Linked DNA regions of Oryctolagus cuniculus. Each later gene encodes a partner of the first gene's protein in a complex. Links are inferred from orthologs where the notes say so. Each region holds a gene or a part of one and is shown in the gene's direction. Other genes may lie near its edges. The genes, in order: POLR3E, POLR3C, POLR3D, POLR3G, CRCP and POLR3K.

What was found.
Region 2: POLR3E (region 1) and POLR3C share a complex: the UniProt entries of both Homo sapiens proteins name them as parts of the RNA polymerase III complex. The link is inferred for Oryctolagus cuniculus from reciprocal best matches to the Homo sapiens genes POLR3E and POLR3C.
Region 3: POLR3E (region 1) and POLR3D share a complex: the UniProt entries of both Homo sapiens proteins name them as parts of the RNA polymerase III complex. The link is inferred for Oryctolagus cuniculus from reciprocal best matches to the Homo sapiens genes POLR3E and POLR3D.
Region 4: POLR3E (region 1) and POLR3G share a complex: the UniProt entries of both Homo sapiens proteins name them as parts of the RNA polymerase III complex. The link is inferred for Oryctolagus cuniculus from reciprocal best matches to the Homo sapiens genes POLR3E and POLR3G.
Region 5: POLR3E (region 1) and CRCP share a complex: the UniProt entries of both Homo sapiens proteins name them as parts of the RNA polymerase III complex. The link is inferred for Oryctolagus cuniculus from reciprocal best matches to the Homo sapiens genes POLR3E and CRCP.
Region 6: POLR3E (region 1) and POLR3K share a complex: the UniProt entries of both Homo sapiens proteins name them as parts of the RNA polymerase III complex. The link is inferred for Oryctolagus cuniculus from reciprocal best matches to the Homo sapiens genes POLR3E and POLR3K.

What each region holds. Positions count from the first base shown.
Region 1 is NC_091450.1:17,076,565-17,081,352, reverse strand, and holds part of POLR3E (DNA-directed RNA polymerase III subunit RPC5), read left to right. Parts: intron 1-2,191; coding exon 2,192-2,269; intron 2,270-2,944; coding exon 2,945-3,060; intron 3,061-3,426; coding exon 3,427-3,509; intron 3,510-4,788. UniProt on the Homo sapiens protein: DNA-dependent RNA polymerase catalyzes the transcription of DNA into RNA using the four ribonucleoside triphosphates as substrates.
Region 2 is NC_091438.1:49,062,153-49,067,726, reverse strand, and holds the start of POLR3C (DNA-directed RNA polymerase III subunit RPC3), read left to right. Parts: upstream 1-1,886; 5' UTR 1,887-2,026; intron 2,027-3,166; coding exon of another isoform or gene 3,167-3,268; exon of another isoform or gene 3,269-3,438; intron 3,439-3,458; exon of another isoform or gene 3,459-3,791; intron 3,792-4,772; 5' UTR 4,773-4,792; coding exon 4,793-4,939; intron 4,940-5,574. Other genes in the region: E3 ubiquitin-protein ligase RNF115, read right to left, coding at 3,167-3,268. UniProt on the Homo sapiens protein: DNA-dependent RNA polymerase catalyzes the transcription of DNA into RNA using the four ribonucleoside triphosphates as substrates.
Region 3 is NC_091439.1:1,078,578-1,083,912, reverse strand, and holds the start of POLR3D (DNA-directed RNA polymerase III subunit RPC4), read left to right. Parts: upstream 1-1,651; 5' UTR 1,652-1,785; exon of another isoform or gene 1,786-1,827; intron 1,828-2,019; 5' UTR 2,020-2,024; coding exon 2,025-2,189; intron 2,190-3,313; coding exon 3,314-3,357; intron 3,358-4,691; coding exon 4,692-4,843; intron 4,844-4,951; coding exon 4,952-5,076; intron 5,077-5,176; coding exon 5,177-5,335. UniProt on the Homo sapiens protein: DNA-dependent RNA polymerase catalyzes the transcription of DNA into RNA using the four ribonucleoside triphosphates as substrates.
Region 4 is NC_091445.1:13,205,179-13,209,966, forward strand, and holds part of POLR3G (DNA-directed RNA polymerase III subunit RPC7), read left to right. Parts: intron 1-1,034; 5' UTR 1,035-1,103; coding exon 1,104-1,220; intron 1,221-4,426; coding exon 4,427-4,556; intron 4,557-4,788. UniProt on the Homo sapiens protein: DNA-dependent RNA polymerase catalyzes the transcription of DNA into RNA using the four ribonucleoside triphosphates as substrates.
Region 5 is NC_091450.1:66,192,632-66,198,209, forward strand, and holds the start of CRCP (DNA-directed RNA polymerase III subunit RPC9), read left to right. Parts: upstream 1-1,843; 5' UTR 1,844-2,083; coding exon 2,084-2,091; intron 2,092-5,578. UniProt on the Homo sapiens protein: DNA-dependent RNA polymerase catalyzes the transcription of DNA into RNA using the four ribonucleoside triphosphates as substrates.
Region 6 is NC_091450.1:34,576,456-34,580,411, forward strand, and holds the end of POLR3K (DNA-directed RNA polymerase III subunit RPC10), read left to right. Parts: intron 1-2,826; coding exon 2,827-2,954; downstream 2,955-3,956. UniProt on the Homo sapiens protein: Core component of RNA polymerase III (Pol III) which synthesizes small non-coding RNAs using the four ribonucleoside triphosphates as substrates. Can mediate Pol I proofreading of the nascent RNA transcript.

The sequences.
Region 1 (4,788 bases):
CCCTTCCTCACGGGACAGGCCTTGGGGTGGTTTGTGCTTTTTGGCTGTCATGAATAATGCTCCTTTGAACATTGTTTGTTCAAAAGGCAGAGTGACAAGGAGAGAAAGACAGATCTTCCAACTGCTGGTTCATTCCCCAAGTGGCTGTACTGGTTGGGGCTATGGCAGGCTGAAGCCAGGAGCCAGGATCTCCATCCAGGTCTCCTACATGGGTGGCAGGAGCCAAGTACTTGGGCTGTTATCTGCTGCCTTCCCAGGTGCATTAGCAGGGACCTGGATCAGAAGTGGAACAGCCGGGACACGGACCAGCCATCTGATGTGGGATGCCAGTATCTCAGGTGGCAGCTTAATCTGCTGCACCACAACACTGGCCCCTTAGAGAAAGGAGAGAGCACAAGAGAGCATACCCATCTACTGACTTACTCCCCAAACGTCTGCGATAGTTGGAACTCGGCCAGGCCAAAGCCTGGAACTTAATCTCTTTTTCCCACGTGGGTGACAGGGACCCAAGTACTTGAGCCACTGCTTGCTGCCCACCAGGTATGCATTTTCAGGAAGTTGGAATGGGGAGCAGAGCTAGGACTGAAACCCAGACACTCCAATGTGGGATGTGGGCGTCCCAAGTGGCCTCTTAACCACTGCTCCAAACGCCTGCTCCTTCTGTATAACTTGTGTGGACAGTGTGTTTTCATTCCTCTGAGTGTGTTCATAGGAGTGGAATTGCTGGGTCACATGTTATTTAATTTTTAAGAAACTACCTGACTTTTCTGTACCATTTTTATATTCCCCAATAATAAAGTGATTGTTTTAGACACTTCTATGCCCACGTTGTGCCTTAGAAAATGGGGCTCGGGGAGGCCTCTACTGAAGGGTCCTGGGACGAGGTGGCAGTGGCAGTGCCCCAGGCCTGGGGTCCATTCCCTGAGATTTACCTTTACATCCCATAGGACGGGGAGCCTGTCCTTTGGGCCTTTGGAACCTACATCCTTAACTGATTGCACAGTGATGTTCCTAATGACCCTGTGTGTATCTGTGGTGTGCCAGCCCTCTTCTTCATCTGCTCTTAGGGCAGCCCTGGGCAGTGAGGTGAGGCTACTCAGGGAGGTGAAGAGCTTGCCTGAGTACACGCGTGGCAAAGTTAGGACTGGAACCCAGGGCTGCTTCCAGACCTATGCTCTCTACCACCCTCCCAGCCTGACGTCATGATCTCTGAGCTGCCCCAGGCGTTGGCAGACCAGTGTCTCCAGGCTGTCCCAGTCAAGCCACGCTTCAGTGCTTTGCTCAAAGAGGCTGTGTTCCAGGCTGTTCTCCCATCACAGCTCCACTAGCTCCAGCCTGGGAGGCAGAGGAGACCCGGTATTGCTGTTTCAGTGAGCTTTTAGGAAATGACCCTTTCTTTGGGTTCTAGTGCAGCTGATCTGTAGTGGAGCTGACTTTCCACAGTGCCTCGCCTCCAGCAGGCTCATCCTGTGGCTGTCATGGTCCTAGGCAGTGAAGGGCAGACTTTTGAGACTGGGTTCAAATCACAGCTCGCTGTGGCACACTGGGATGAAGACAGGGACGGTGCATCCATGAGGTGGACGTAGGTGTGCAGTCTGTGAAAGTGGGGACCAGTAGGTGTGCAGTCTGTGAAAGTGGGGACCATTTGTGTAAAGGTGACCTTACACAAAGCGGGCAGGAGGCTCAGCTCTGCCCTTTCTAGTGTTTTACTGTGGGAAGGTTGCTGCATAGGCTGAGGGTCATGAGTTCCCATATGTCAGCATCCTGCTGCAGCAGTGAAGGACACTGGCCAGCGGCTTTCCCCTCTGCTTCCCTGTGGCCTCATTTCTCGCTGGATGGTACATCAACTTATCGTTTGATCTTGGACCCTTACTCTCAACCCTCACAGCCATGCGCTGTGGGCATTAAAGCCCACATGGTGACTGTTTGGGTTCCTGATGCTTATGCCTGTCCCTTGTAAGTCAAAGACATCTTAAAATTGCCATTTGGAAGGAGGCTCAGAGGAGCAGATGGGAATGGGACTGCAAGCAGATCCCACAGGGGAGCCTCACTGTGGGGCTTGTTGGGCCCTGGGTCTTCCGGTCTTTGCTTCATGGGCCTAGGGGTGGCTGTTGATTCTCGGCTGGAGCCCCAGGAGCCCTGCTCTGGTTGGGCTGGACAGGGTTGCTGACAGCTTCCTTTCCTCCCCCAGTATCCTGTACGTCCAGCCTCGATGACCTACGATGACATTCCGCACCTCTCGGCCAAGATCAAGCCCAAGCAGCAGAAGGTGGGGCTGCCGTGTGCTGAGCTGAGGGCAGGGAGGGCTGGTGGGAGAGGCAGAGAAGGAGCAGTGGAGTTAGGAGAACCAGCAGCTTGCAAAGGCTTGGAGGCTGAGGACGGGAAGTTTCCAGAAAGAAAGAGGGTAGGCAGCTCTAGGAAGGAAGGAGGGTCAAGATGACTTAGGGAATAGTCTCAGTGTAAGCTTGGGTACCTGGGCAGGTCTGGGTCTCACATAGTGAGGCCAGTCTAGTGCCTAAAAAGAAGTGAGATGATAGACAAGGAGACCTAAAGACACGCCCCAGCCCCCTGTGGTCCGTTGGAAGTGGTGTTTCAAGATTGCTAGTTCTGGGGACTTTCAAGAAAAGCTGGAGATGGGAATTTTAGGAGAAATCTCTTGATATTTTAAATTGTTGGCATCTAATTTAGATCTTTAGGAGTGAAGTGGGGAGACTGTGCAAGCACTGCCTAACCCACCTCCCACCTCTGCCCCCTCCCCCCAAAAAACCCTACTCTTAACATTTCTGATGGAATTGAGTTTATGGACTGAAGCCATAGGGCCCTTGGGGCAGGGACAGGTGTCAGCTCCACTTCTGGGCAGTGACTGTTAGGAGGTGGCCATGGTGGGGCTGGGGGAGTCCCTTGGGGGATCCTCATGGTTGGTGGGGATGCTTGATGCCTGCAGGTAGAGCTTGAGATGGCCATCGACACCCTGAATCCCAACTATTGCCGCAGCAAGGGGGAGCAGATCGCACTGAACGTGGACGGCGCTTGTGCTGATGAGACCAGCACATACTCCTCGTGAGTGCCCAGCCCTCGGAGCCCCTCTGGTCAGATGCAAACCTTCAGAAGGCCTTGCAGAAGTGACCCCTCCTGCCGGGAGCCTCCAGGGTTCCAGGCTCTCCCCTCCTGTGCTGGCTCGTCCCAGTGGGTTCTTCCTGGGCTGGGTGGGAAGCTGGCCCCTGGAGCTCCTGGCACTGCTTGTTTCTTGGTGCACAAACAAGACGATGTGGGTTTTCTCATCCCCCAGCTCCCCTCCTGAGGCAGATGGAGGCTGCTCTGTGGCCTTGGTCCCTGACTGGTGTCTGGGGAGGAGTGGGCTGTGCCTGCCAGGCCCTGACTCTGGAACCTCCTTCCCCTTGACGTCGGTTCTCCCTGTGCTCCCAGGAAACTGATGGACAAGCAGACATTCTGCTCTTCCCAGACCACCACTAACACGTCTCGTTACGCGGCTGCGCTCTATAGGCAAGGTACCCGGGGCTTGGGGGTCCTGGGGAGGGGGACCTTACCCAGCCAAGGGTCCAGCTCTGCCTCCTCCAAACACCAGACATTCTTGGGGACCAGGCGGTGTGAAAATAACAAATGGCAGCCGGGGGACCCTGGAAAGAACCACCTCCGTAGATGTTGCTTGACCTGTTTGGCTGGGCTCTACGCCATTGTCCTTGTGGGACACAGACCCTCCCACAGCACAGCCTGACTCTGAGTGTAAGTGGCAGGTGTGTGTTTCTAAAGTCAAGGGACTTATGACCCGGTGATTCTGTTCCTAGTTAGCATTTCCTTGAGGCAAGAAGAAGTGTCCACACCAGGAGGTAGATTGGCAGGATGGAGAGGGTGTTAGTGGCTTCCAGGGGCTGGTAGTAGAGTGAAGTGGGACTTGGTGGCTTCTTTTTGTGTTGACGAAGATGACTGTGGTGCTGCCTGAATATTGAGTTGTATGCTGTATTTGTTTGAAAGTCAGAGTTAGGGGCTGGTGCTGTGTGGTGTAGCAGGTAAAGCCACCACCTGCAATGCTGGCATCCCACATGGACACTGGTTTGAGCCCTGGGTGCTCTGCTTCTGATCCAGCACTCTGCTATAGCTTGGGAAAGCAGTGGAAGATGGCCCAAACCCTTTTACCCCTGCACCCTCATGGGAGACCTGGAAGAAGCTCCTGGCTAGTTTACTCTCAAGATGGCCCAGCCGGTGCTGGGCCAGGCTGAAGCCAAGAATCAGGAGCTTCTTCTGGGTCTGCCATGTGGGTGCAGGGCCCAAACACCTGGGCCATCTTCTGTGTTTCCGAGACCCGTGAGCAGGGAGCTGGATTGGAAGTGAAGCAGCCAGGATATGAAACGGTGCCATATGGGATGCCGGCAGCACAGGTGGCGGCTTTACTCGCTGTGCTGCAGTGCTGGCCCTGGAGTGCTTTAAATGAGTGAATTCCATGGTATGTGAGGCACAGTCAGACTGGGACAAAGTGTGAGGGGCTTACTAAGTGTTTTGAGCCTGTGAAGCAATACGCAAAGCTCATTGGAACACTCAGGGAACAAAAGAGAAGTTTCAAAAGTAGTGTTAGGAACTCCTCCCCAGGGCATGCTGTGAAGGATGTGGTCATGTCTCTTGTGGCCGGGACCCTTCATTCATGGACACCCTGATCGAGCATTCTGTTCACGCTGGGGTCCAGGAGGCTGCGAGCCCCTAGCGTCCGAGTGCTGCTCTTTAATGCCTGCACTGACTGAGTGTTCGTCCTGGCCCTGCCTCCCAGGGCACAGG
Region 2 (5,574 bases), on another chromosome or scaffold:
GCCATGAAAGATGAAACTCACTGACTCACACAATCCTGACCTCGCTGAGCCTTTTCCCAAAAGCGCAGAACAATGAGTCACTACTGTACGTGATGACTACAATTAATAACAATATATTGTACATTTTAATATTGCAAAGACAGATTTGAAGAGCTCTCATCCCCAAAAAATGATGCTTGTGAGGTAATCCATGTTAGTTTGATTTAGCCATTCTACAATGCAATATATGTATGCAAAGTATTTCACTTGTCAATTTAAAAAACCAACAATTTACTAAATGTTTTTCCCTTCTTCCTCAACTTGTTCTTCCTTTTTCCACCTCCCAGTCTCTGGTATTCTCAATCTGAATTCCACCTACCCTTCAAAATTCAATTTAAATCCCACCTTGTCTGTCATACCTTCCCTACCCACACCAACACCACCATACGCCTGATTTTTTTAAATTTATTTATTTCAAAGGCAGAGTGACAGAGGAAGAAATGGAGAAAGAGAAATCTTCCATCTGCTGGTTTACTCCCAACATGGCTGCAATAGCCAGCGAAGGGCCAGGCTGAAGCTAAAACTTCCATCCTGATCTCCTTCATGGGTGGCTGGGAACCAAGCACTTGGAACATCTTCCACTGTCTTCCCAGACACATTATCAGGAAGCCTCCTAAGAAGAGGTGCAGAAGGGTCTTGAACTGTGTGCTGGGGCAGGCGGTGGCTTAACCTGCTGCACCACAATGCCAGCCGCCTCTCTGAATTCTAAAGTGCATCCTCATCCACTTTACAGTCATGCTCCATGTAACAACGTTTTAGTCAACAGTGGATCATATATGCAATGGTGGCTCCATTATCGTACCACCTAGTGACACAGTGGTCTTAGTTGGTTAAGTATATACTCTGATGTTCACACAAAAACAAAAATCGCCTGATAGTACAGTTCTTGTTTCTTGGAACATATTCCTGTAGATTAGGGGAATACATGACTACATTGTTACCTTTTTCCATGTCTGCCTTGTCTTCCCAAAGAAACTGTGAGATCCTTAAGGGCAAGAACTACATATTCTGGGGCTAGTGCTATGGCACAGTGGGCTAAGCTGCAGCCTGCAGTGCTGACAATCCATATAGGCCCCTGTTTGAGACCTGGCTGCTGAACTTCCAATCAGCTCTCTGCTAATGTGCCTGGGAAAGCAGCTGAAGATGGCCCAAAGCCCTGGGACCCTCCCCTCGTGGGAGACACAGAAGAAGCTCCTAGCTCCTGGCTTTGGCCTGGGCCAGCCCTGGTCATTGCAGCCATCTGGGGCATGAACCAGTGGATGGAAGACCCCTCTCTCTACCTCTGTCTCTCCTCTCTCTGTAACTCTACCTTTCAAATAAATAAAAGAGCATGGCACTAGTCTGCAATCATAAACCTGATAAACAGCAGGACAAACATTATTTAAAAAACTACATATTCTCCCATGTCACCCAGGACATCCAGCAGAAAACACTGCACATGAGTAGGAAGCACATTCAACTGTGTCTCAATTTACAATTCACGCACAACAAATAATAAATCAGACTAAAAACCCCAAGAACTTCTCCAGGCAGCTAAGAATAAGAAAAACATCTATAAAACCTTTCATATTATCCCTTTGAAGTTAGGACTTTAGATGATAAGGGAAAAAAAAGATAATAAGTTGTGGAAACTGAAACCAAGTCTTCTCCCTCTTGAAGGCAAAATAATGAACAGCGACTTAAAGATCCGAAGAGCAAAGGGCGCAGTCAGCGACCTGTCGCCAGTCACACACACCAGGGCTGCGTTCCAAACTGCCTCTCTGTAGTTAGAGAATTCTGGAGGCTCTGATGTCTGTTGGAAAAGCACAAGGCACCTGCTCTTCCCAACGGTGAAATATGCCAAAACGCACATAAACACACACCAAAATCAGCAGGCAAAGCCAGGAGCACTGAGATGAAACTATGATCGTGCAGTGGGAGCAAATAGAGAAACCAGAAAATGCCATCAAAACACAACTTGTCAGGTGAAAAGGCTCTCAAATACCCGGTAAGTGTTGACTCACTGGACTCCATTGTGTTTCTAAGAAATAAGAGATGGGGACACACACTTCAGTGGGGCTTCTAGACTGCATGAGACACTGTAATACACAGGGAAGCTGTTCTGCAGCCACTGTCTAAAGACTAATTATTTAAAGACAGCCAGCCAAAGGTAGGATTAACATTCACCCTGCTGGGGCTCCCCACAGGAGCTAAAACCCAACCCAAAGCAGCTTCTGGGTTTGGGGCCCCAGGCGCTGGTGGAAGTGTTTTCTTTACATACCACAGCACTACCTCTCTAGGGGCTAAGAGACAGTCTGGCAGAAACTGGTTTAAAAAAAAAAAACAAACCACCAATCTGATGTAAGAGGAAGCGGTCCCCAACATCTGTCCTGGATCTTCTTCTTGAGTGACGGGGGTGGGGGGTGGTCGGTAAGGGAGGCGGCACTGAAGACACCCGCAAGCGGACAACCCACATAAACTAAGTTCCAACAGCTTCCTGCCTGCTTCCCAAAGCCCTCGCCTCCGACAGTCAGAGGAGCGCCGGGCACTCTGCAAGTCATCAGGACACCGCTGTTTTCACTTTCACATGAACCCCAGGAGAAGGGCAAAACCCCCTCTCCCCAGTTACCTCCCACCCCTGGCTCGTCCCTAGAGACCACCGAACAGGGACAAGCCTCAGCAATCCGCTATGTTTCTCCAGCGAGGCGGGGGAAGCGGGAAGATCTGGCGAAAAGTGGGAAAGGGAATCGGAGGAAGGCGAGGAGCAGCAGAGGAAAGAGTACTGGGGGAGGGGAGGTCACGGCGAGGAGCGGACAAGGTGAAGAGGGCGAGAAGATTCAGGGGAAAGTTGTCAGAGGAGAACTTGCTGAGCAAGACAAAAAGATGGAGGGGACACAGGCCAAGCGCAGAGAGGCAGCGAGGGGCAGGTGAAGCAGTCTAGCCGGGAACAAGGGCTGGGCTGGAAGAAGGGAGCCAGGGCCGTGACGCTGCAGGGTAGGGGCCAGGCACCGGGGACAGTGGACGGCAGGTACTCGGGTGACCGATGTCAGGGGAGTCAGGTGGATACGAGAGGCTTAAGACCCAATTCCGGGACATCGGGGCCAGGCATCTAAGCAGGAGCCAGACGCAAAGGAAACGGGGCTCTTACCGGTAGTTTGGGGCTGACCTCGCCCTTGCAAAAGTGGCAGAAAAACCGGTGCGCGGCTACGGCGGCGCCCGCGTCCGCACCGGCCGCCGAAGCCTCCGCCATTTTTCTCCTCCGCCGCGGCTGTCCGACAGGGCGAGCGGTCTGTCCCTCACCAGGCCGCTACGTCCCGGGCTGCGGTCGCCGCCGCAGCCGCCACCGCCACCACCGCCTCAGCGCGGCCCGCCGCTCCACAGCACAGCCCGCCTCGGTCACGTGAGCCCGCCGGGCCCAGCGAGGCGGCGGCGCGGACGGCGAACCCGCGGCCCGCCCCCGGCACGGAAGAGCGCAGGAAGGCGCGTCCGCACCCCGCGGCCCGCCCGCCCGCCGGCTGCTCAGACAGCCCCCGGCCGGTCCTCCGACCTTCCAGCGAGAAGAGAGAGAAAGAGCGTCCCGGAAACCACCGACACTCTGGGGTAGAGCGGCGCACGTTTTTCGCCCTCTCGGCGTCCTGCCCCTGCGGCCATCCTCTTCCGAGAGAGGGCCGTGGGCTCCCCCTCTGCCCTGGCGGCTCGCGGGTGCCGCAGGAAGCCGACGTGGGGACCTCGGCGGCGTTTGGTTTGCAGCCCCTGGCTTGGTTGACCCTGAGGTTAGTGGAAAATGCTGTCTGAACCAGCGGGCTTGGATCTGAACAGAGAGACCAGGACCGGAAGGGGAGCCTGCGTGAAGGGAGTGCAGGAGCGGGAGCCAAGCGTCTTGTAAATCCCGTCCAGGGCTGGCGCAGAGTCAGGGCAAGTGAATGGGTGAACTAGGTCTCGGGTGATCCTGAGGCCGGGGCACAAAGACGTGGCTTCCAAGGAGTTGGGAGAAATAAATGAACAGTGGTAGCAGCAGTGGTAAGAAAGAAATCATAAAGCCAACTGCGTCCGTTTCTGTTTGTGTCGCCTTTGTCAGAATTAAATTCTGCCCTACCCACAATGTAACTTCATCTCCTGTGCTGAACACGCTGTGTAGAAGCTCTCCTTTATCTCCCGATTTCTTTTTCTCAGTTGTCTTTTCCTTTATGGACTGGGAATGGCGCTGCCTGTTCACTCTCAGTGGGCTGTGACAGTGACTTTAATGCTTCCACAATGAAGTGTAGAATCTAGGGTCTGTGACAGACTGCAAGATCAATACGCAGTCTTTTCAGAAAAACACGGTGACTCGTAATCCCATAAAGTTGATGTATAGTCTTTCAGTCTTTTTCCTATGCATAGTTTAAAAAAAAAACTAACAAGAATTACTCTACATTTTCCTTTGCAACTGCTTCCGTCATGTAATATGAACATTTTTCTAATATATATTGTTCTAAATAATTTTATATATTGGAAGAATATTCCTTTGTATGGGCATGGCATAATTTATAAGACAGTAGGTTTTTTCCAGTGTATCAGCATTATAAGGAAAATAGTGACATCTTTTAATTATGTCTTTGGAACATAATGTCCAAAGTGAAATTGTTATGCAAGACTTTAAGACTTTTGATGTGTATTGTCCCAGTGTTTCCCAGAAAAGATACATAAATTTATAATAAGCAGTTCTACTCCAAACATGAAAAGGAAACTATATTATATATTTTTGTTTTTCCTAGCTCTGAGACTCCCCAGGACAATGACTCAAGCTGAAATTAAACTCTGTTCTTTGCTACTGCAAGAGCATTTTGGAGAGATTGTAGAAAAAATTGGAGTCCACCTAATCAGAACTGGCAGCCAGCCGCTAAGAGTAATTGTCCATGACACGGGAACATCACCGGATCAGGTATGTTTAGGTGACATTAATTTGCTCTCTTTCACCTGCCTTTGAATGGTGTTCCTCCCTACCCTAGAAAATGAAGGCAGAAAGCCTGCCCTAGGATCAGAACAGTGTTGCTTGAGGGGAAAGAGGATGAAACTTAGGTCCCAGGGTTTTGTTTCTCAAAGTGTTCCTAATTCATCAAGGCTTCTTAAACAAATCTTGGAGCTGGTGCTGTGGCACAGTAGGTTAATCCTCTGCCTGTGGCACCAGCATCCCATATGGGTGCTGGTTCTAGCCCCAGCTGCTCCTCTTCCAATCCAGCTGCCTTCTATGGCCTGGGAAAGCAGTAGAAGGCCCAAGTCCTTGGGCCCCTGCACTCGTGTAGGAGACCTGGAAGAAGTTCCTGGCTCTGGTCCAGCTCCAGCTGTTTGGACCACCTAGCAAATGGAAAACCTCTCTCTCTCTGCCTCTCTGTAACTCTTTCAAATAAAATAAATAAATAAATCTTGAGGCCAGTGCTGTGGCGCAGTAGGTTAATCCTCTGCCTGTGGCACCAGCATCCCATATGGGCTCCAATTTGAGTCCCAGCTGCTCTTCTTCCAGGCCAGCTCTCTGCTATGGCCTGGAAAAGCAGTAGAAGATGGCCCAAGTGCTTGGGC
Region 3 (5,335 bases), on another chromosome or scaffold:
CATTATAGTAGAGTTTTGCAAGATGTTATTAGTCTAGAAGGTGCACACAACTTAGGATCTTCCTGCATTGTTTCTTAGGACTGCACTTGTATCTACAATGATCTCAAGATAAAGTTTACTTTTAAGAAATGTACATCTTCCGGGCCGGCGCTGTGGCGTAGTGGGTAAAACCGCCACCTGCTGTGCCGGCATCCCATATGCACACCAGTTCAAGTCCTGGCTGCTCCACTTCCGATCCAACTCTCTGCTATGGCCTGGGAAAGCAGTAGAAGATGGCCCAAGTCCTTGAGCCCCTGCACCCATGTGGGAGACCTGGAACAAAATCCTGGCTCCTGGCTTCGGATCAGCTCAGCCCTGGCCATGGCGGCCAACTGTGGGGGTGAACCAATGGATGGAAGACATCTCTCTCTCTCCTTCTCTCTCTGTATTAACTCTTTCAAATAAATAAATGTCTTAAAAAAAAAAAAAGAAAGAAAGAAATGTACATCTTTCTGCTTGTTATCCGAAGTGGAAATCTCTCCCAGGGGAATAATTCAAAAGAAGAAAAAAGTTTAACACACCATATGTTCACTATGTATGTTGCTTAAAAAAAAAAAAAATCCAAATGTCCAAACAGGGAAACAGGTAAATCAAGATCCAGTCCCTGGGCTGGCATTCTGGCCCAGTGGGTAAAGGCGCTGCCTGCAGTGGGCGCCAGTTCAAGTCCCAGCTGCTCCACTTGTGATCCAGCTCCCTGCTAATGTGCCTGGGAAAGTGGTAGAAGATGGCCCAAATCCTTGGGCCCCTGCACCCACGTGGGAGATCCCAGCTTTGTGGCCAATTGGCAAGTGAACCAGCGGATGGAAGATTTCTCTAACTCTGCCTTACAAAAAAAAAAAAAAAAAAAAAAAAAAAAAAAAAAAAAAATTCCAGGCTGCTGCCTGTGATACCAGCATCCCACGAGGCCCAGGCTCCTTGCTTCTGCCTGGCCCAGCCCAGGGTGTTACAGTCATTTGGGATGGGAACCGAAGCCAGGAGCCGTAGGCAGGGCTCCCACGTGGGCGCAGGACCCCAGAACTCCGGCCATCCCCGAAGGACACTTTTCCCGTCAAATCACAAGGGCCAGAGTCACGACAGAAGCTGATCGGATCCGTCCCTCCCGCGGCAGAGCAGACTCGGTTTCCGTCTTCTCTCCAGGACCCGGGCGACCCTGAGCCCAGAACGGGGGACGGGGCAGCCGCTCCGGAGACGCCCCTGAGCCCACCCCGGACGCCCCGCCGCTGCCCCGCGGCAGTGACCGCCCCAAGGTCACCACACAGCGCCCGCAGCCGGGGCTGCCCGGGGCTGCAGCCGGGCCCCGCACTCCACCCCGACGCGCGACCCCACTGCTCCGAGCGGCTAAGTCGCGGCGAATTCCGCCCCCGTCCCCACTGCCCCGTGGGGTGGGGGTCGCCAAGGCGCTGCCTGGAGCTCGGCGCCCCCACCCCTGGCCCGAGGCCACGACCCACAAACGCCGCCCCGTAACGTAGCCCGGACCGGCCCCCCTCACCCCAGCTTTTTCGCCCTCTCAACCCAGCTTTTCCCGACTCCGGGAAGAACCGGGAAGAGAAGGCGGAGGGCAGCGAGACGCCGCCTCATAAATACTGTGGCCTAGCCCCGCCCCCAATCGTCACTTCCGCCCCGCGGCAAGATGGCGGCGCCCAGGCGCTGCCACGCAGACTTCCGCCCGGCGCGGAGACTAGGGGTCGGCGGCGAGTGGCGTCGGCTGTGAAGTGGGGACGCGCGGTTGCGGAGCCCCAGCGGCGTGTGCGTTCCTGCCTCGGGCCTGGCGGGGGGCTGGGAGGGCAGGTTAGAGCTAAGGGCTCCGGCCGGGGTGGTCCGGGGCGCCTCGCCACGTGGGAGGGGGAGGAGCCGAGACGCAGCCCGAGGGACGCGTCGGGGGCGGGTTGCAGGGGGAGCGGCCCGCCACGTGAGTGCGGTTCCGCCCCGGGTTCGCGGGTCCGTCTCCGCCGGTGACCGGGCGCCCGTTCTCTCTCTCAGGCAGCATGTCGGAAGGAAGCGCCGCGGGCGAGCCCGGCGCTCCGGGCACCCCCCGGCCCCTGCTCTCAGGGGCCCGGGGGCTCATCGGGCGGCGGCCTGCGCCCCCTCCCACGCCGGGCCGCCTTCCCTCCATCCGCTCCAGGGACCTCACTCTCGGGGGAGTCAAGAAGGTACCCGCCCGGCGCGTTTCTCAGGACACTCAGCTGTTTGGCACTCCAGGCTCCCAGATTCAGCAGATGCCCCTGTGTGGCTTGCTGTGTGCTGGGCGTGGTGTTGGGGCTCAGTCAAGTCTGGGTGCTGGCCACGAGCTGTTGAGGTGGTTTTCAGAGGATCGCGCCTGGTTCCAGACGTTCCAAAGAGCAGGGTTTACTTTCATTGTGCGTGCGTGTGTGTTGTAGAAAATGCTCTGTGTATTTGAAAGAGTGCTGGCATGCACCTGCTGGCTCACTCCCCAAATGGCCCCGATGGTCCGGACTGTTCCAGGCTGAAGTCAGGAGCCAGGAACTGCGTCTGGCCATCTTCTGGCTTCCCAGGTGCGTCAGAGGGAGCTGGATGGGAAGTGGAGCAGCCAGGACCCGAGCTGGCGCCCCAGTGTGATGCTGGCATTCCAGGCAGAGGCTTAACCCACTGCACCACAACACTGACCCGCTGACCCCTTAGTGTTTGTTTGGAGCCCCCTTTAAGAACCCTAAGATAGCCAGACAAGCACAAACGCCGCTGTCAGTTTTGAGAGGGTCCCAGAATCCTCTGGTAGATTCTGGGCATGGCATTGGGGCCCGGTGCCCTTTTCCACGTGACTGTGGCTGTGAGGAGCTCTCAGAGGGTTGGGGGTGACAGGGAATGAGACAGAGCAGACAGCAGCCAGTTTTGAAAGATTTACCTGTGTCTCGGGCCAGTCTGGTGCCAGTCTAACCATGTCCTCTGTGAGTGCTGGCAGATCTGTGTTCCCTGCCTGGGCCTTGAGCGAGAGCTGTGTGCCTGTGGTACTGATTGGCCCCCGTAGCAGACTGGAGATGAGAGACATCAGACAGGTTTCTTTGCATTTGGAGGTGCTGGTGGGGCTCTCAGAGGGCAGAAGCTGCTAGTTAGGATGGTGTCGGGTTCCCTGCTGCCCGTGTGACTGTGCTGCCGCCGTGGCAGGATGGCTCTCCTCGCCAGGCAGCTGTGTGTCTGTGTGAAGGTGTGATGACAGCGCAGTGTGTGCAGAGGGCCTCAGGGTGGGCTTGGTCCCCAGGAGATGCCCTTTGGGGGGTCAGAACGGATCAAGTCAGTGACTCTTGCATTTTGCTTTCAGAAAACTTTCACCCCAAATATCATCAGCCGGAAGATCAAGGAAGAGTAAGTAGCCTGAATACTTGCCCCTTGTTTCTTTGCACAGGCTGGGGCTGTGGGGGAAGTAACTAGCTTATGGCTCAGAAGTGTAAAAATTTGTGTGTCCATTCTTTGCACTGGTGATTTTTTTTTTTTTAAGATTCATTTATTTTACTTGAAAGAGTTACACAGAGAGAGGAGAGGCAGAGAGAGAGAGAGAGGTCTTCCATCCGATGGTTCACTCCCCAGTTTGGCTGCAACGGCCGGAACTGCGCTGATCCGTGCCAGGAGCCAGGAGCTTCTTCCAGGTCTCCCACACAGGTGCAAGCACCCAAGGACTTGGGCCATCCTCCACTGCCATTCCAGGCCATAGCAGAGAGCTGGATGGGAAGTGGAGCAGCTGGGGCTAGAACTGGTGCCCATAAGGGATGCTGGCACTTCAGGCCAGGTGTTAACCCGCTGTGCCACAGCACCGGCCTTGCACTGGTGATTGTTAACCCTGGCTTGCAAATGATTTTTTTTTTTAAAGATTGATTTATTTGAAAGGCAGAGTTACAGAGAGGGGGGTGGGGGTGGGTCTTCCATCCGCTAGTTCATTTCCCTCTAAATGGCCTCAGTGGCCAGTGTTGGGTCGGGCGGAAGCCAAGAGCTTCTTCCGGGTCTCCCATGTGGGTACAGGGACGCAAGTACCTGGGCCATCTTCTACTGCTTTCCCAACAATAGCAGGGAGCTGGATTGGAAGAGGAGCAGCTGGGACTCAAACTGGCGCCCATGTAGGATGCCAGGTGATTCTTAAAGTGCAGGCCTTCAAAAAATACAGATCCCCAATGCTGCATCTCTAGAAATTGTGATTGGACTAGTTTGCAGTGAAACAGAGTGATGCTATCTTGCAGCCAGAGTTGAAAGGCAACAGTTTAAATTTGGGGTGAGGAGTGTCCGGCTTGCAGGACATCTGTGGCCCACGAAATCTGGTGTGACCCTGCCAAGGCAGCCGTGGGCAGAACTCCCAATTCAGTTAACTCTCCGGGCAGCTAATGTAAGTTGATGACTGTGTATGGCCTGAGAATGATGTTGTAACTATCAGAATAGCCCGTGGCAGGAAGGAGGTCAGACAGATGTGACCACGCTTGCCTTGACGTTCGTTTGTATTACAGCCTTGCTGCTTTCAGTCAGTGCCAAAAAAAAAAAAAAAAAAAAAAAGTTTTTGGGCGAGCAGGTAGAGCCCAGCAAAGTGAAAGGCCTCATCCGGGCAGCGAGACGGGTGCTGGCCTCCGAGTGGGGCTCCACAAACTCTGCTCGGTTGGCGGAGTGGCGTGGCAAAGGCAGGCCAAGTGGTCCCCAGCATCCCCCGTCTCTTGCAGGCCCAAGGAGGAGGTCACAGTGAAGAAGGAGAAGCGGGAGAGGGACCGAGAGCGGCAGCGGGAGTGGCATGGGCGGGGCCGGGGCCGCCCGGAAGTCATCCAGTCCCACTCCATCTTTGAGCAAGGCCCCGCTGAGATGATGAAGAAGAAAGGTACAAGGAAGGGGTCAGGAATGGAGGCGGGGCCAGAGCCACGGAGGCAGGCCGGAGCCACGGAGCGCCCGCTGCCGGCTAGCTGCTGAACAGGGTGGTTTCCCGCAGGGAGCTGGGATAAGACCGTGGATGTGTCGGATATGGGTCCCTCTCACATCATCAACATCAAGAAGGAGAAGAGGGAGACGGACGAGGAGACCAAGCAGATCCTGCGCATGCTGGAGAAAGACGACGTGGGTGCCGGGGCGGGGAGGGGGTTCGCTATTGCGGGGGCTGCCGGGGTGGGAGGAGCGAGGGGCAGCGGCCCGTGACCCCGCAGCTCTGCCTTGGCAGTTCATCGATGACCCTGGGCTGCGGAACGACACCCGGAACATGCCTGTGCAGCTGCCGCTGGCGCACTCGGGCTGGCTGTTTAAGGAGGAGAGCGAGGATCAGGATGTGAAGCCTTGGCTGGCCGGCCCCAAGGAGGAGGACATGGAGGTGGACGTGCCC
Region 4 (4,788 bases), on another chromosome or scaffold:
ATTTGAGCCATCACCTGCTGCCCCCCAGCTGGGTTTGAAGCAGAGCAGCCAGGCACTCTGGTATGGGGTGCAGGCGTCCCACACTGGGGCTTGATTCTTTAAAGGTTCTCATGGCCCCAGACGATGAGAATAGTCAGCCCTGTCGAAAAGGAAGCTGGGATTTCCCAGGCCTTGGGACCAAACTGTATTCAAATTGCAGATAGTCAAAAAGATGTGCGGAAGTAGCCCCTCAGTGGTCTTAGCAGGTAGTCCTTCACCCTGAAGGTGGCAAACTTCAGTGGAAACGTGTTCAGGACCCTTGTGTCTTGGTAAGAAACTGCACAGCAGCTGTGTGAGGTGTTGTGCAAGTAAGTGCCTGAGCTGGGCGGCTGCGGCCGGAGCCGCTCGTCTGTCTGCCTGCGCAGCGTGCAGGTGCAGAAGCTCGTTCCCCTGGGCTCCCTGGGTTCAGTCTTAGCCTGTCCTCAGCGGGAAGAGATGTGAAGACCGTGCACGCTACTCACCACCACCATGATTGAGAGCAGAGTTCTCCAGCCTGCAGGTTCCTGTTACTGCACTGCAGGTTCACGTCTACCTGGAGCTTGGGGAAAGTCATGGAAAAACGGAATGAAAAGAGCAGCTTGTTTTGGTGCCAGAAGTGTTTGAAAGCTGTGCACGTGAGGGGAGGGGCGTCTGCAAAAAGTTGATGAGAAATGTATATTTTGAAAAAAACTATGCGTGGATTTCTACATTTTGCTACACCAGAGTAAAGATGTGTTTTAAGGACCTTTCAGTGGATTTCCAATGTACTTTCGTATCCTAGTGTAATCTTGATTTGGAGGATTTGGGAGTTCAGCAGGAGACCTGAAGTTGAAGGCGGACGAGGTCGGCTTCCCCCTCATTTAGCACTTGCAGCTGTTCCTTGCCAAACCTTCACGCCATCGTCACACATTTACTCCTTTCCAGGTTTTAGTTTTCCAACAGTGTTTTCTCTCAGCCGTGCTCTGTAGCGGCAGAGTTTCATGCTTTGTTTTACAGTGATGGCTTCTTTCTCTTAGGACCCAGCCTGCCTGCATCCCTGGTGGTATCTTTCAGAATTCAGTCTCCTGGCGGCGTAGCCCATCCTGATGGCGGGGAACAAAGGAAGAGGGCGGGCTGCCTACACCTTTAACATCGAGGCTGTGGGCTTCAGCAGAGGTGAGAAGCTGCCTGACGTGGTGCTGAAGCCACCCCCCGTGTTTCCCGTAAGTACGCTGACAGCTGAGTCCCATGTGTTGCTTTATCCTGTTGCTAAGAAAATTGGAATTCTAGATAGGACTTGAATATGTGGTATCATGATGATGTCTGAAAGCATAGGAAAGTAAAAGACAGCTTTTTTTTTTTTTAAGATTTATTTTGTTGCATATGCAGTTACAGGAGAGGTCTTGCATCCACTGGCTCATTCCCCAAATTTCACTTACCTTTAATTTAAATATTTCCACCATTCTTCCCTGGACATTTTCTGATGTTCAGGCCACTTTCTTAAAACAGAAAACAAAAACTGTATACACCTTTCCTTGAAAACACATAGAATATATCAACCAAGAATGAATTTTTGTTTTTAATTTGAAAGGGAGAGAGAGAGGGAGAGAGGGAGAGCTCTCTTCCATACACTAGTTCAATCCCCATGTGGCCGCAGTGGCCTGGGTTGGGCCAGCCCAAAGCCAGGACCCGGGAGCTTCTTCCAGATCTCGCACACAGGGGCCCAAGCACATGGGCCATTCTCCACTGCTTTCCCAGTTGCATTAGCAGGGAATTGAATCAGAAGTGGAGCAGCCAGGACTCAAACCGGCGCCCAAACCGATGCCTTTCTGACATCTCCGTAATTTTTGCTCCCGCTGCCCCTCTCTGTTCCCAGCTGCGCTGCCTCCTGGTTCCCTCAGGCCTTTGCCCCTGTTGCCGCCCAGTCTGGGGCCGTCTGTTCTCCAGTCTGTGCATGGATGGCTTCCTGATCTTATCTAGGCCTCTGCTTCAGTGTGACTTGGGCTTACATGCTTACCCTGCAGAGACGGGCCAGCTCTGACCGTGACTCTATCAGTTGCTATTATAGCCAACTTCATTTCACTGATCCTTAAAAATGTAAAGCCACATTGACTGATAAGTAATCATTCTGTTATGTGAATACTCGTTAGGAAAGAATCATTGCAGAGTGTACTTCAGCATATTTTGTTTTTAAGGATTTTTTTTGTTTGTTTGTTTGAAAGACATAGTGGCAGAGAGAGAGGGAGAAACAGAGAGAGAGAGATCTTCCACCTGCTGGTTTACTCCCAAGTGGCTGCAATGCTCGTAGCTGAGCCAAAGCCAGCTGCCAGGAACTCCTACCTGGGTGGCAAGGTCCAGGCACCTGAGCCATCATCTGCTGCTTTCCAAGGTGCATTAGCAGGCAGCTGGATTAGAAGTGGAGCAGCTGGGGCTTGTGCTCCAGTGTCCTAAGTGGCAGTTTATATGCTGTGCCACAATGCCAGGCCCATTTCAGTCCTTTTAAAATTAATTTTTCCTCTAGATTATGGGGCAGAGTTACTTAATCGAACATGGCTGTTATTAAAACACATACCCAATCTAAGGCCGGTGCCGTGGCTCAGTAGGCTAATCCTCTGCCTTGCGGCGCCGGCACACCGGGTTCTAGTTGTCGCTCCCCCTCTTCGTGGAGGAACGACACTAAACCCTGCCTAGGCTTCATATCCGAGTCACGGCACCATTATGTCGCTCCCCCTCTTCATGGAGGAACGACACAGGACCCTGCGCTGTTCTTTTGTCTGCTCGGCCCTCCCCGGGTTTGCTGCTGGTTCTTCCCGGGTTGGCTACCATCCCTTCCACCTCCGTGGAGGGGCGGGCCCCCTGCCACTTTCCCCACTTCCACGGGGGAGCGGCACACCGCCGGCCGGCTCTCTCGGGGGCTGCACAGGTGTTCCCTCAGATGTTCCTGGTGCATGTTGTCTCTCTCCTCCTTTATAGTCCTCTTCCACCAATCCCAACTCTGCTACCCACACGCCGAGTACGCTGCTCTCCTCCAATCAGGAGCAGGTCCTGCTGTTTATTGGTTGAACTGGAGGCAGCTGAGTAGAAGCTGTTTCCTCCTCTCCCAGCGCCATATTGTGGGAGAGCAGATGCATAGAATAAGTCTTAATTCCAGTAACTTAGTCTAGTCCGAGTTGCTCCCAGTTGCTCCCCACATCTAGTCCCGGTCGGGGTGCCGGATTCTGTCCCGGTTGCCCCTCTTCCAGGCCAGCTCTCTGCTGTGGCCAGGGAGTGCAGTGGAGGATGGCCAAGTCCTTGGGCCCTGCACCCCATGGGAGACCAGGAGAAGCGCCCGGCTCCTGCCTTCAGATAGGCGCAGTGCACTGGCCACGGCGGCCGTTGGAGGGTGAACCAATGGCAAAGGAAGACCTTTCTCTCTGTCTCTCTCTCTCACTGTCCACTCTGCCCGTTAAAAAAAAAAAATACCCAATCTAAAAAAGAAAAGTCACATCATTAAAGCCTTTGTGTGATCCTTTAGGGACTTTATGGGCATATGTGTGTATAATTTGAAAACACTAAAGTGTAGCTTCCAACTTCTGCTCTGGTATCTACTCTTTATATGGGCTTACTGCTCCTTCTCCTCTCAATGTCTTTACCATAAAAGATAAAATACTGGTGATAGTGTTGATAATGGATGTTGACTACTTAGTTCTTCCTGGCCTGAGTAATCTCTTGCTAAATGATAGCTGCTGTTATCATTATATTTTTGTGCTATTGCTCCTGCCAGTCACCACTGCTAGTTGAGGTTGATAGTAACTAAAGCAGTTGCTCTCATTTGGGTGCCTTGATTTTTATTTTTTAATTAATTAATTTTTAAAATTTTCTTTGTAAGGCAGAGTAGCAGAGAGAAAGTGAAACAGAGAGAGAGAGAGAGAGATTGACAGTGTGATTCCATCTGTTGGTTCACGCTTCAAATACCTGCAACAACCAGAGCTGGGCTAGGTCAAAGCCAAGAGCCAGGAACTCTGTCAGGGTCTTCTTGGGTGCAGGAACCCACGTATTTGGGACATCATCTGCTGCCTCCCAGGTTCATTACCAGGAAGTGAAGTGGAGGTGGGAGTGTATCCACGCACTCCGACCTAGCATGAGAGGGCCAAAGGGGGGGCTTAACCTGCTGTACCCTGTGCCGGCCCCAGGTGCCTTGTGTTTTGCAACATGAGGTCACATTCATCAGCAGACTACACAGCAGAACGAGTGTTGGTCTCTTTCCCACCTCGAAAAGAAGGGCAAGATGGGAAGTGGGCTGAAAGGTTAAGGTAGATCAGAGCAGGTCAGCACCTTGTGAATTGATCGTAGAGCTTAGTGCCCAGTAAAACATGGTTTTTCAGTAAAACTGATATTTTCTAGAAAATAAACAACATGGGGCATTAAAACATTCTTTGTCTCTTAATAGGATACAGATTATAAGCCAGTGCCACTGAAAACAGGGGAAGGTGAAGATTACATGCTGGCCTTGAAACAGGAGCTGAGAGAAACAATGAAAAGGATGCCTTATTTCATTGAGCCGCCCGAAGAGAAGCAAGGTGTGTATTGGACTCTGATCATGTGAATTTAATGTAAATACATGGACCAGTGGGTAAGCACAGGATGTGTTCTCATTTCATGCTCACTCAGTTTATTCAGAATTTAACAACTACCCTGAAAAAACCGTGTTTATGGGGCTTAACAGAAGAAAAATAAGGATTTTGGGTTTTTTAAGATTTATTTATTTTATCTGAGAGGCAGAGTTAGAGAGGGAGGGAGGGAAGAAGGGAG
Region 5 (5,578 bases), about 49 Mb from region 1:
AGGCTTCTGGCTTTGGCCCAGCCCAGGCCTGGCCACTGTGGCCATTTTGGAGTGAACTAGTGGATGGAAGATCAATCTCTCTGTGTCTCTGTAACTCTGCCTTTCAAAGAAATACATCTTTGAAAAAAGAAAGAAAAAAAAAAAGAAAGTGATGGAGGAGAATGGATCACAGGCTGGCTAACTGCAAAGCTTGCACTGTTAATATCACGGAATAACATAGTGCTTAGCAAAAGCCTTGCAAAAAGAATGAACTTAGTAAATGATAACTGATATGCTGTCAAAATGTATATTTTAAAAAAACAGAAAAGTAGCAACTGACTTACCATCCTGCTGTTGTTCATATTCTGCCATATTGCCTTCCAGTCTTTAAAAAACACTTCAAACATATCAACATATAGAGAAGGCAAAAGACATCAACCTTCCCAGTTGTTTTTAACACATAAATGGCTATACCTCCCAATACCTTTAGGTAATTTTTTCCTATATGATTTTTTTTAGGTCACGCCACATCAACTTGCATCTTTTAAGTAGCCTTTTTTTTTTTTTTTCAAAGATTTTACTGATTTATTTGAGAGGTAGAGTTACAGAGAGGGAGAGACATAGAGAGAGGTCTTCCATTTGCTGGTTCACTTCCCAGATGGCCACAAAGACTGGAGCTGAGCCTATCCAAAGCCAGGAGTTTCTTCAAGGTTTCCTATATCAGTGCGGGGGCCCAAGCACTTGGGCCATCTTCTACTGCTTCCCCAGGCCATAGCAGGGAGCTGGATTGGAAGTGAAGCAGCTGGGACACTGACTGGCACCACAGGGAATACTGGTGCTGCGGTGGAGGCTGAGCTCACAGTGCCAGCTCCTAAATATCCTATCCTGAAAATGTTTTTATTTTGTAATATTTCAAAGAATACAGAGGAGTATAGCGTTCACTGAGCATACATATATTTATTTTTTAACACTTTTCCATATTCGTTTCATTTAACACTTTTCCATATTCACTTCATTTGTAAATATACTTCATATTTTTTGAAATCAGGGGTGGATATATTAATATAACATGGGATTCATGACAAAGATCATAAAATGAAGAAATAAGGCTGCATTATTGTGTAGGGATATAAATCGTGAAGACAACATTTATAAATATACACCAAATAATATGGCATCCACATTTTTACTATACACACATGCGTATATATTCCACATATGAGCGAAAACATGTATTTGTCTTTCTGTGGCTTGACTTTGCATAATGCTAATTCCTTTCATTTTGTTTCAAATGTCAGTACTCCATGCTTTCTTATGGCTGAGTAATATTCCATTTTGTGTTTATCCACTTTGCATGCCTACATACATGGCTGAAGCATGATCAATTCTCCATTGTTGGGCATTTTGGCTATTTCCAAGCAAAAAAAAATCCCATCCTGCGCATCTTTCCTCAAGAAAGATAATGTACTTTGGGCAAACTCCGAGAAAAGCCCCAGCCCCAGGGCTCAGACACAGCCTGTTCAGGTTAAGGTTATTTATTCTTTTTTTTTAAGATTTATTTATTTGAAAGGCAGAGTTACAGAGAGGGGAAGGCAGAGAAAGAGGTCTTCCATCAGCTGGCTCACTCCCCAAACGGCCACAAGGGCCAGAGCTAGGCCACTCTGAAGCCAGGAGCCAAGAGCTTCATCTGGGTCTCCCTCACGGGTGCGGGGGCCCAAGCACTCGGCCATCTTCCAGTGCTTTCCCAGGCCATAGCAGAGCTGGATCCGAAGAAGAGCACAGCTCCTCTTGGCCCCCGCCCTGGGATTTTTTTAACACTGCAAAGGCCTACAAAAACGACCACGCCTTCGGAAGCTTAACTCGTGAAAACACTTTGCTTAAGTCCCGTCCGCAGACGCTAGACAGCCCGCTCGGCCAGGCGAGCGGCGCCCGGCCGCGAGAACCTCCCGGCTCCACCACGATCCCGGCGTGCAGCGCGGCGATCCCAGCGTGCACCGCGGAGGCCCGCGACCGCCGCGAGTGCTGTGTAGGTTAGGGGAGCTGCGGCGGCGCCGCGGCTGGCTCCTTATCTGCAGGCTGCTGGGGCCGAGGGCGCGAGGACGACATGGAAGTGTAAGCTTTGGGTCTGGGTGCACGGCTGGAGACGGTTAGACCGCTGGGAGCCGAGAGCTGTTAGAGACAGGGTTGAGGGCGCGGCGACTCCGGCTCAGCGGCGACTCCGGCTCAGCGGCGACGGCCGGGTCTTGGGAGTGGAGGACCGAGGAAGACGGGGGTTCTCGCTCTGCCGCGCTGAACCTCCGCTCCCGGTGTCTGGGGCGCCCGGCCCAGTGAGACTCGGTCGGCTGGCTTTCAGTGGGCCTCCTCCCTCCCTCATTCATTTACTGGCCTTTCCTGGGTCCCAGTGGCAGCGCGACCTGGTTTCCGAGCGGGGACTTGGAAAGCATAAAGCCCTTGAGAGATGGCTGCGGGTTGGAACAGAGCTGTGCTTGGGGGTAGGGGGCTCCTGAGAAACCCTCACAAAGAGGTGGCATCTGAGTTTGCTGAGGAGCTATCGGCCCTTTAGGGGAGGGGGCGGGGCTTCTGGGAGAAGGAATTGTATCTGGACTGGATCAGAAGCAGTACGAGGCGGGTGTGTGCACGGTATAAGCAAGGAGTAAAAGTTCCAGCAATTTAACGCCACGTGATCTTTTCCATGTTTCCTCATCGTACCGAGTACAGATAGAAACTTTTGCTTCTACTCTGCATGTGGCTTTTTACATGATTGGTGTAAACTTGTAGGCATGTCTATATTGTGTTTTCTGTGGCACCGATGAAAACATTTTCCTTTAGGTTAAATTTTTGCTTCGTGGTTAGTGATTTATGAACTGGTGGTTTTCAGACCTTTTTTTTTTTTAAAATAAAGAATTATTTATTTATTTGAAAGGCAGAGAGGCGGGGAGAGGGAGGGGAAGGGGGATAGGTGTCTTCCATCCGCTGGTTCACTCCCCAAATGGCTGCAATGGCTGGAGCTGGCCCAATTGGAAACCAGGAGCCAGGAGCTTCTTCTGGGTCTCCCATGTGGTTGCAGGGGCCCAAGGACTTGGGCCATCTTCTACTGCTTTCCCAGGCCATAGCAGAGAGCTGGATCAGAAGTGAAGAAACCGGTACCCATGTGGGATGCCAGCACTGCAGGTGGAAGGTAAACGTTCTAGACACAGTGCTGGTCCCCAGACTTTTTTTTTTTTTTACTTTAACTTCACTATTTACATATAAAACGGAAATGACAGGTACATACTTTTTTTTTTTTTTTGATAGGCAGAGTGGACAGTGAGAGAGAGAGACAGAGAGAAAGGTCTTCCTTTTCCGTTGGTTCACCCCCCAATGGCCGCTGCAGCCGGCGTGCTGCGGCCGGTGCACCGCACTGATCCAAAGCCAGGAACCAGGTGCTTCTCCTGGTCTCCCATGCGGGTGCAGGGCCCAAGGACTTGGGCCATCCTCCGCTGCACTCCCGGGCCACAGCAGGGAGCTGGACAGGAAGAGCACCGACTGGGACAGAATCCGGTACCCCAACCGGGACTAGAACCCGGGGTGCTGGCGCCGCAAGTGGAGGATTAGCCTGCTGAGCCGCGGTGCTGGCCTAGGTACATACTTTTTTTAAAAAAAGATTTATTTATTTACTTGGATGTCAGAGTTACACAGAGAGGAGAGGCAGAGAGAAAGAGAGGTTGTCCATCCACTGGTCCACTCCCCAGTTGGCCGCAACAGCCGGAGCTGTGCCAATCCGAAGACAGGAGCCAGGAGCTTCTTCTGGATCTTGCACACGAGTGCAGGGGCCCAAAGACTTGGGCCTCCTATTGCTTTCCCAGGCCATAGCAGAGAGCTGGATTGGAAGTGGAGTAGCCGGGACTCGAACTGGTGTCCATATGGGATGCCAGCACTGCAGGCGGTGGCTTTACCTGTTATGCCACTGTGTTGGCCCCAGGTCCATATTTTAAGTTATTCAGTTTACTCTGCTGTTGTCTAGTTTACTAAAAGTTGACCCACTAAATTAAGTTTGCAAGCAACCCACTAATGGGGTTTAGCCTGCAACATGAAATCATTCATAAATTAATATAAGCCATCATCATTAATTTTCCCACGTTACCAGAGTATTTCCTATCAGTATACAGGCCAGTTCAACCTATACATTGTATTGGTCAGCTTTTTATGAAATACCTGAGGCAATTAATTTTATAAAGAGAGAAGGATTCTTTAGTTCACAGTCCAAGATGGGGTAGATCTCATTGGTTCAGTGTCTGGTGATGGCGTTCATGTTGGCAGAATCCTCAAATCATATTGCAAGAGACAGGGAATGGGCATGTTTATGTGGTCTCTTTAATAATGGAGGTTGAAATCTAATGACCCAATTTGATCCGTTGCCAAAGGCTCTGCCTTCAAATATCATAACTGGATTAAGTTTCTACTCTCTTAGTGCCATTAACATAAGACTTTGGGCACCAGATATTTAACAGGTGGGCCTTTGGGAGACACTGAGCACTCAAATTAATACCCATAGCGTACATCTTGTAACAATCCCTCGTCCTCACCTATTTCTATTTCACCTATTCTTGCCCACCTATTGCCCAACACTTCTGCTTCCCCTCACAGCAAAACTTCTTGAAAATTGTTATATCTCCTAATTCACTTGGCCTGCTGTTGGACTCATCCTTATTGCAGAAATGGCTCTTGTGAAGATTACTTGAGCCTCTGTCTTATCGAATCCAAAACTGATTTTCTGGCCTCAGCTTTCTTGATCCCTCAGCATCAATTGATAGAGAAATGCTAGAACTCCTGGCCTTGTGTCAGGCTCTCCTGGATTGTCTTCTACAGCAAGGACCTCCCAGTGTCCTTCCCTGGCTGCCCTTCCTCCCTTGTTTGGCATCTAAATGTTTCTTAGTCCTGGGAGGCTTTCTCTCTATTTTCTCTCACTTGGTCATTTTAATCATCTATAACTTGATTGTTCCCTGAAATACATTTCTGATCCCCTTTTCCCATTTTTCCTGTTACTTAAAGCACAAACCTAGCCCCTTTTCCATACCCATAACCATCAGCCAGTCCTGTCATCTCTACATTTCAAACATTTTAAATATAGGGTTACTTTTCACCAGCTCCACTGTTAACTCTAGTCTGTCATCTCTGGTCTGGATTAAGTAAATAGCTGTTTGGCTCTCACTGCTTTGTCTATGTAGCAACCAGAGTGAGCTTAAATATTAATTGGATCGGGTCACCTGCTGTGTAAAACCCTTCATTGGCTTTCCATTGTCCTTGAAGAAAATCTGCACTTCTTACTAGGACCTACAAGACCCTGTATAACCTTGCCTCAGCTGTATCTCTGTCACTGTCATCCCCTTCAAAGTACACAATTTGTCAGGTTGTTCCTCTGACTTTCCAAGCCCATTCCTCCCTTTGGATCTTTGAATTGCTATTCCTTCTCCTTGGTATAACTCTCCTGCCCTGCCCCCTTATCAGATGGAGTGTCTCTTTAAAGATGCCTTTGCTCTTTAGTCAGTCCAAAATCAGTCCCCCCCACCCCCCACCCCGGCTTTTTTTTTCCCTTTCTCATCGCCTTGGTTTACTTTCT
Region 6 (3,956 bases), about 18 Mb from region 1:
TTTTATGGTAGGTGCTTCCTGGACCTTGTTGAAGACCCTAGGGAGAGTCTCTCTGCAACTGGTTTTTTTTTTTTTTTTTTAAGATACTTATTTATTGAGACACAGAGTTACAGAGAGGCAGAGGCAGAGAGAGAGTCTTTGATCTGCTGGTTCACTCCCCATTGGCCACAACAGCTGGAGCTGAGCCAGTGTGAAGCCAGGAGCCAGGAGCCAGGAGCTTCTTCTGAGTGTCCCACGAGGGTGCAGGGGCCCAAGGACTTGGGCCATCTTCCACTGCTTTGCCAGGCCACAGCAGAGAGCTGGATCGGAAGTGGAGCAGCCGGGACTCACACTGGCGCCCACATGGGATGCCGGCGCCCAGGCAGAGGCTCTGCCCGCTGTGCCCCAGCGCCGGCCCCTCTGCGACTCTGAGCCCGCCAGAGTCTCCCGTAATGCGCTGGTCATGAAAACGCAGCAGGCTTGTCAGGAAGCTCGTGTGGAATCGTTACATTTCACTGAAAATACTGAGAGCTGGCGCTGTGGTGTGGCGGGTTAGGCCGCCGCCCGCGACTGGCATCCTGTGTTGGGGCGTCAACCAGCACTGGGCTGATGTGCCTGGCAGCGTCCTTGGGCCCTGCTGCCCGTGCAGGACGTATCTGGCGCTCTGGGCTCCCGGGTGGGACCTGACCGGCTCCTGCTCTTGCCGTCTGGAGAGTGAAGCGCAGAAGGAAGGTCTCGGCCTTCTGCTTGTTAACTGAGATTTCACTGGTGTTGAGAATCAACGCAGACATTTTCATTTTTACACAGTTCTTAACATGCAAGGCAGAATCTAGGAAGCCTGAATTTTCGTTCTGTTTTCAAAAGTCACTCCAGTCATTTCCAGCTTCAAATTTGGAGGCAGCTCTTCCCATCAAGCACCAGCATCTTCAAGCGTTGATGTGACATAAATCCCGCCCTTTACAGGGTAACATCCTGTATGTGACAGACTCAAAAACGTGAACTAAACCACTAGGGAAAGTGGACCCCCACAGCCAGAGATTGACAGAGCACACGTGGTCTGACAGCAACGCCGGGTGGTTTTCTGTCAGGACAGATGAAATGCACCTTTGCCGTTTAGTATGTGTTGTAGGATATAAAAGCCACCCCCACCTGTGGAGTGTCAAGCTGACGGCCACGACAGCCGAAGCCTCCCATGATGGACTGTGTTGTCTGTCTGTCTGTCTGTATTATTATAATGCTACTATTTTCTGGTTGTATCAAAAAACAAACAACCAGCAAGTGATTTCACCTCTTAAAAATTATTTACACTTGGCCAGTGCCGCGGCTCACTAGGCTAATCCTCCACCTAGCGGCACCGGCACACCAGGTTCTAGTCCCGGTTGGGGCGCCGGATTCTGTCCCGGTTGCCCTTCTTCCAGGCCAGCTCTCTGCTGTGGCCCGGGAGTGCAGTGGAGGATGGCCCAGGTGCTTGGGCCCTGCACCCCATGGGAGACCAGGAGAAGCACCTGGCTCCTGCCTTCAGATAGGCGCGGTGCACCGCTGGCCGCGGCGGCCATGGGAGGGTGAACCAGTGGCAAAAGGAAGACCTTTCTCTCTGTCTCTCTCTCTCACTGTCCACTCTGCCTGTCAAAAAAAAAAAAAAAAAAAGTTTCTAGAGCTACTGAAAAACGTGCATTTAAACAGTAGTTGGTAAATTATTCCTGTGGATTGCACGAGAAGGGAGACAGGCGTCTGATATTAACCAGGGCGTCTGATATTAATCAGACTTGGCTTCTTTCTCTTCCTTCATCAGAGGTCACTCTGCCTTTCAAATAGATCCGTAAATCTTTTAGAAACTATGCATGGACTGGAAACTGTTAGTTTCATTTTCTATGAGCTCTTTGAAATTCTCTTACACAGGCTTTTCAGTACTTACTTCAAAGCTGTTTGAGCCTCTCCCCATTACTCAGTCTCCAGCAGTTTGTTACAGCAGCACCAACCGTGGAGATAGCCCCCTTCCAAGTTACTTCTCTAATCAGTCTCCAGCCAGATGGGAGAGACGCAGGGTCCCAGGACGGGAGGAGTGTTTCACAGGGCACAGGTTCACCTGTCCCTTCAGTGTTCGAGCTTGGTGGGAGTGGAGCCTCTGTTGGTAGTGTCCTTAGTGATCTTACGAAGTGTCCCTCACCAGCATCGTTTTTGTGAAGATTTATCTGTTTGGGGTCAGCGCTGTGGCCCAGCAGGTTAAGCTGCCCCTGCAGCACCAGCTTCCCAGATGGGCGCCGGTTCAAGTTCAGTTGCTTCACTTCGCTTCCAGCTCCCTGCAAATGACCTGAGAAAAGCTGCGGGTGATGGCACAGGTCCTTGGGCCCCTGCTCCCACTTGGGAGACCCAGATGAAGCTCCTGGCTTTGGCCTGGCCCAGCCCTGTCTGTTGTAGCCATTTGGGGATGAACCAACAGGTGGACGTCTGTCTCTCCTTTTCTCTCTAACTCTTTCAAATAAACAAATAACTCTTTTTTAAAGATAAGATTTATTTGGAAGGCAAGATGACAGGGTAGGAGAGAAGGAGACCCTCCAACTGCTGGTTAATTCCCCAGATGTCTGTGATGGCCAAGGCTGGCCAGGCTGAGGCCAGTGCCTGGGTCTCCTGCACAGGTGGCAGTGCCCAGGTACTTGGGCCGTCCTCTGCTGCTCTTGCCCTGCACTAGCAGGGAGCTGGATCCGGAGTGGAGCATCCGGGACTCTAACCAGCGCCCACATAGGATGCCAGTGTCGCAGGCGGTGGCCCCCCACTGTGCCGCCATGCTGGCCCCACCAGCGTCATTTTATGTAATGTGGTTCCCTGGTTGGTTTTTCTCCTTTGCAGAGCCGTGTCCCAAGTGCGAACATCCTCGTGCTTACTTCATGCAGCTTCAGACGCGCTCTGCAGACGAGCCCATGACCACCTTCTACAAGTGCTGCAGCCCCCAGTGCGGGCACCGCTGGAGGGACTAGGGCTGCGCTGGCCCAGCTGTGCCGGTCCCCAGGGTGGACTCCTGGCAAGGAATGTGAGCTGTGTGTCCTAGGGTCTTCGCTGGTGTGGCAGAGAGCGAGCCCTCCTGAGGGCAGGGCCAGGGTGCCAGGAACATCGTCCGTCGGTGGATGAAGTCATCGGGGGCCAGAGAGTCCTCGTGGGCGAAGAGGAGACCCTCACTGTGTGCTCTGCTCGGGGGAGGAGACCCTCGCTGTGCACTGCTCAGGGGAGGAGACCCTCGCTGTCTTCTCTCTGCTGGGGGGAGACCCTCGCTGTGCGCTCTGCTGGGGGGGGGACCCTCGCTGTGTGCTCTGCTGGGGGGAGACCCTCACTGTGCGCTCTGCTGGGGGGGAGGAGACCCTCCTGTGCGCTGCTGGGGGGGAGGAGACCCTCGCTGTCTTCTCTCTGCTGGGGGGAGACCCTCGCTCTGTTCTCTCTGCTGGGGGGTGATGAGACCCTCGCTCTGTTCTCTCTGCTGAGGGGAGGAGACCCTCGCTGTCTTCTCTCTGCTCCAGGAGGAGACCCTTGCTGCTCTGCTCGGGGAGACCCTCACTCTGTTCTCTCTGCTCGGGGGAGACCCTCACTCTGTTCTCTCTGCTCGGGGGAGACCCTCGGTGGGAGCTCTGCTTCAGGTTCACTCTGCTCCTCTTCCAGAGCCCTTCAGTATTTATACTGTCTGCACAGCTCAACCCATGGCATGCCCCTGCATATGTAACTGCTAACTGCAAGCTTATTTAACCACAATTTATTTGGAATCTTGTACAAAAAGGAAAAGTCTGATAATGCCTTCCCTTCCTAGCAAACCTTCAAGTTCAGTGACTTCAAACTGACTGCTCTATCTGGGATTAAACAGCACGAAATGTGACAGCCTGACCTTCCGCTTCTTTATCCTTTCTGTTCTTACTCCTTGTTTTCCTTTTTGAGCCTTCCTCAGTTTGCTTCCTAAGGTTGCAATAAATGTATTAGGTTCTTTATACTTCTTG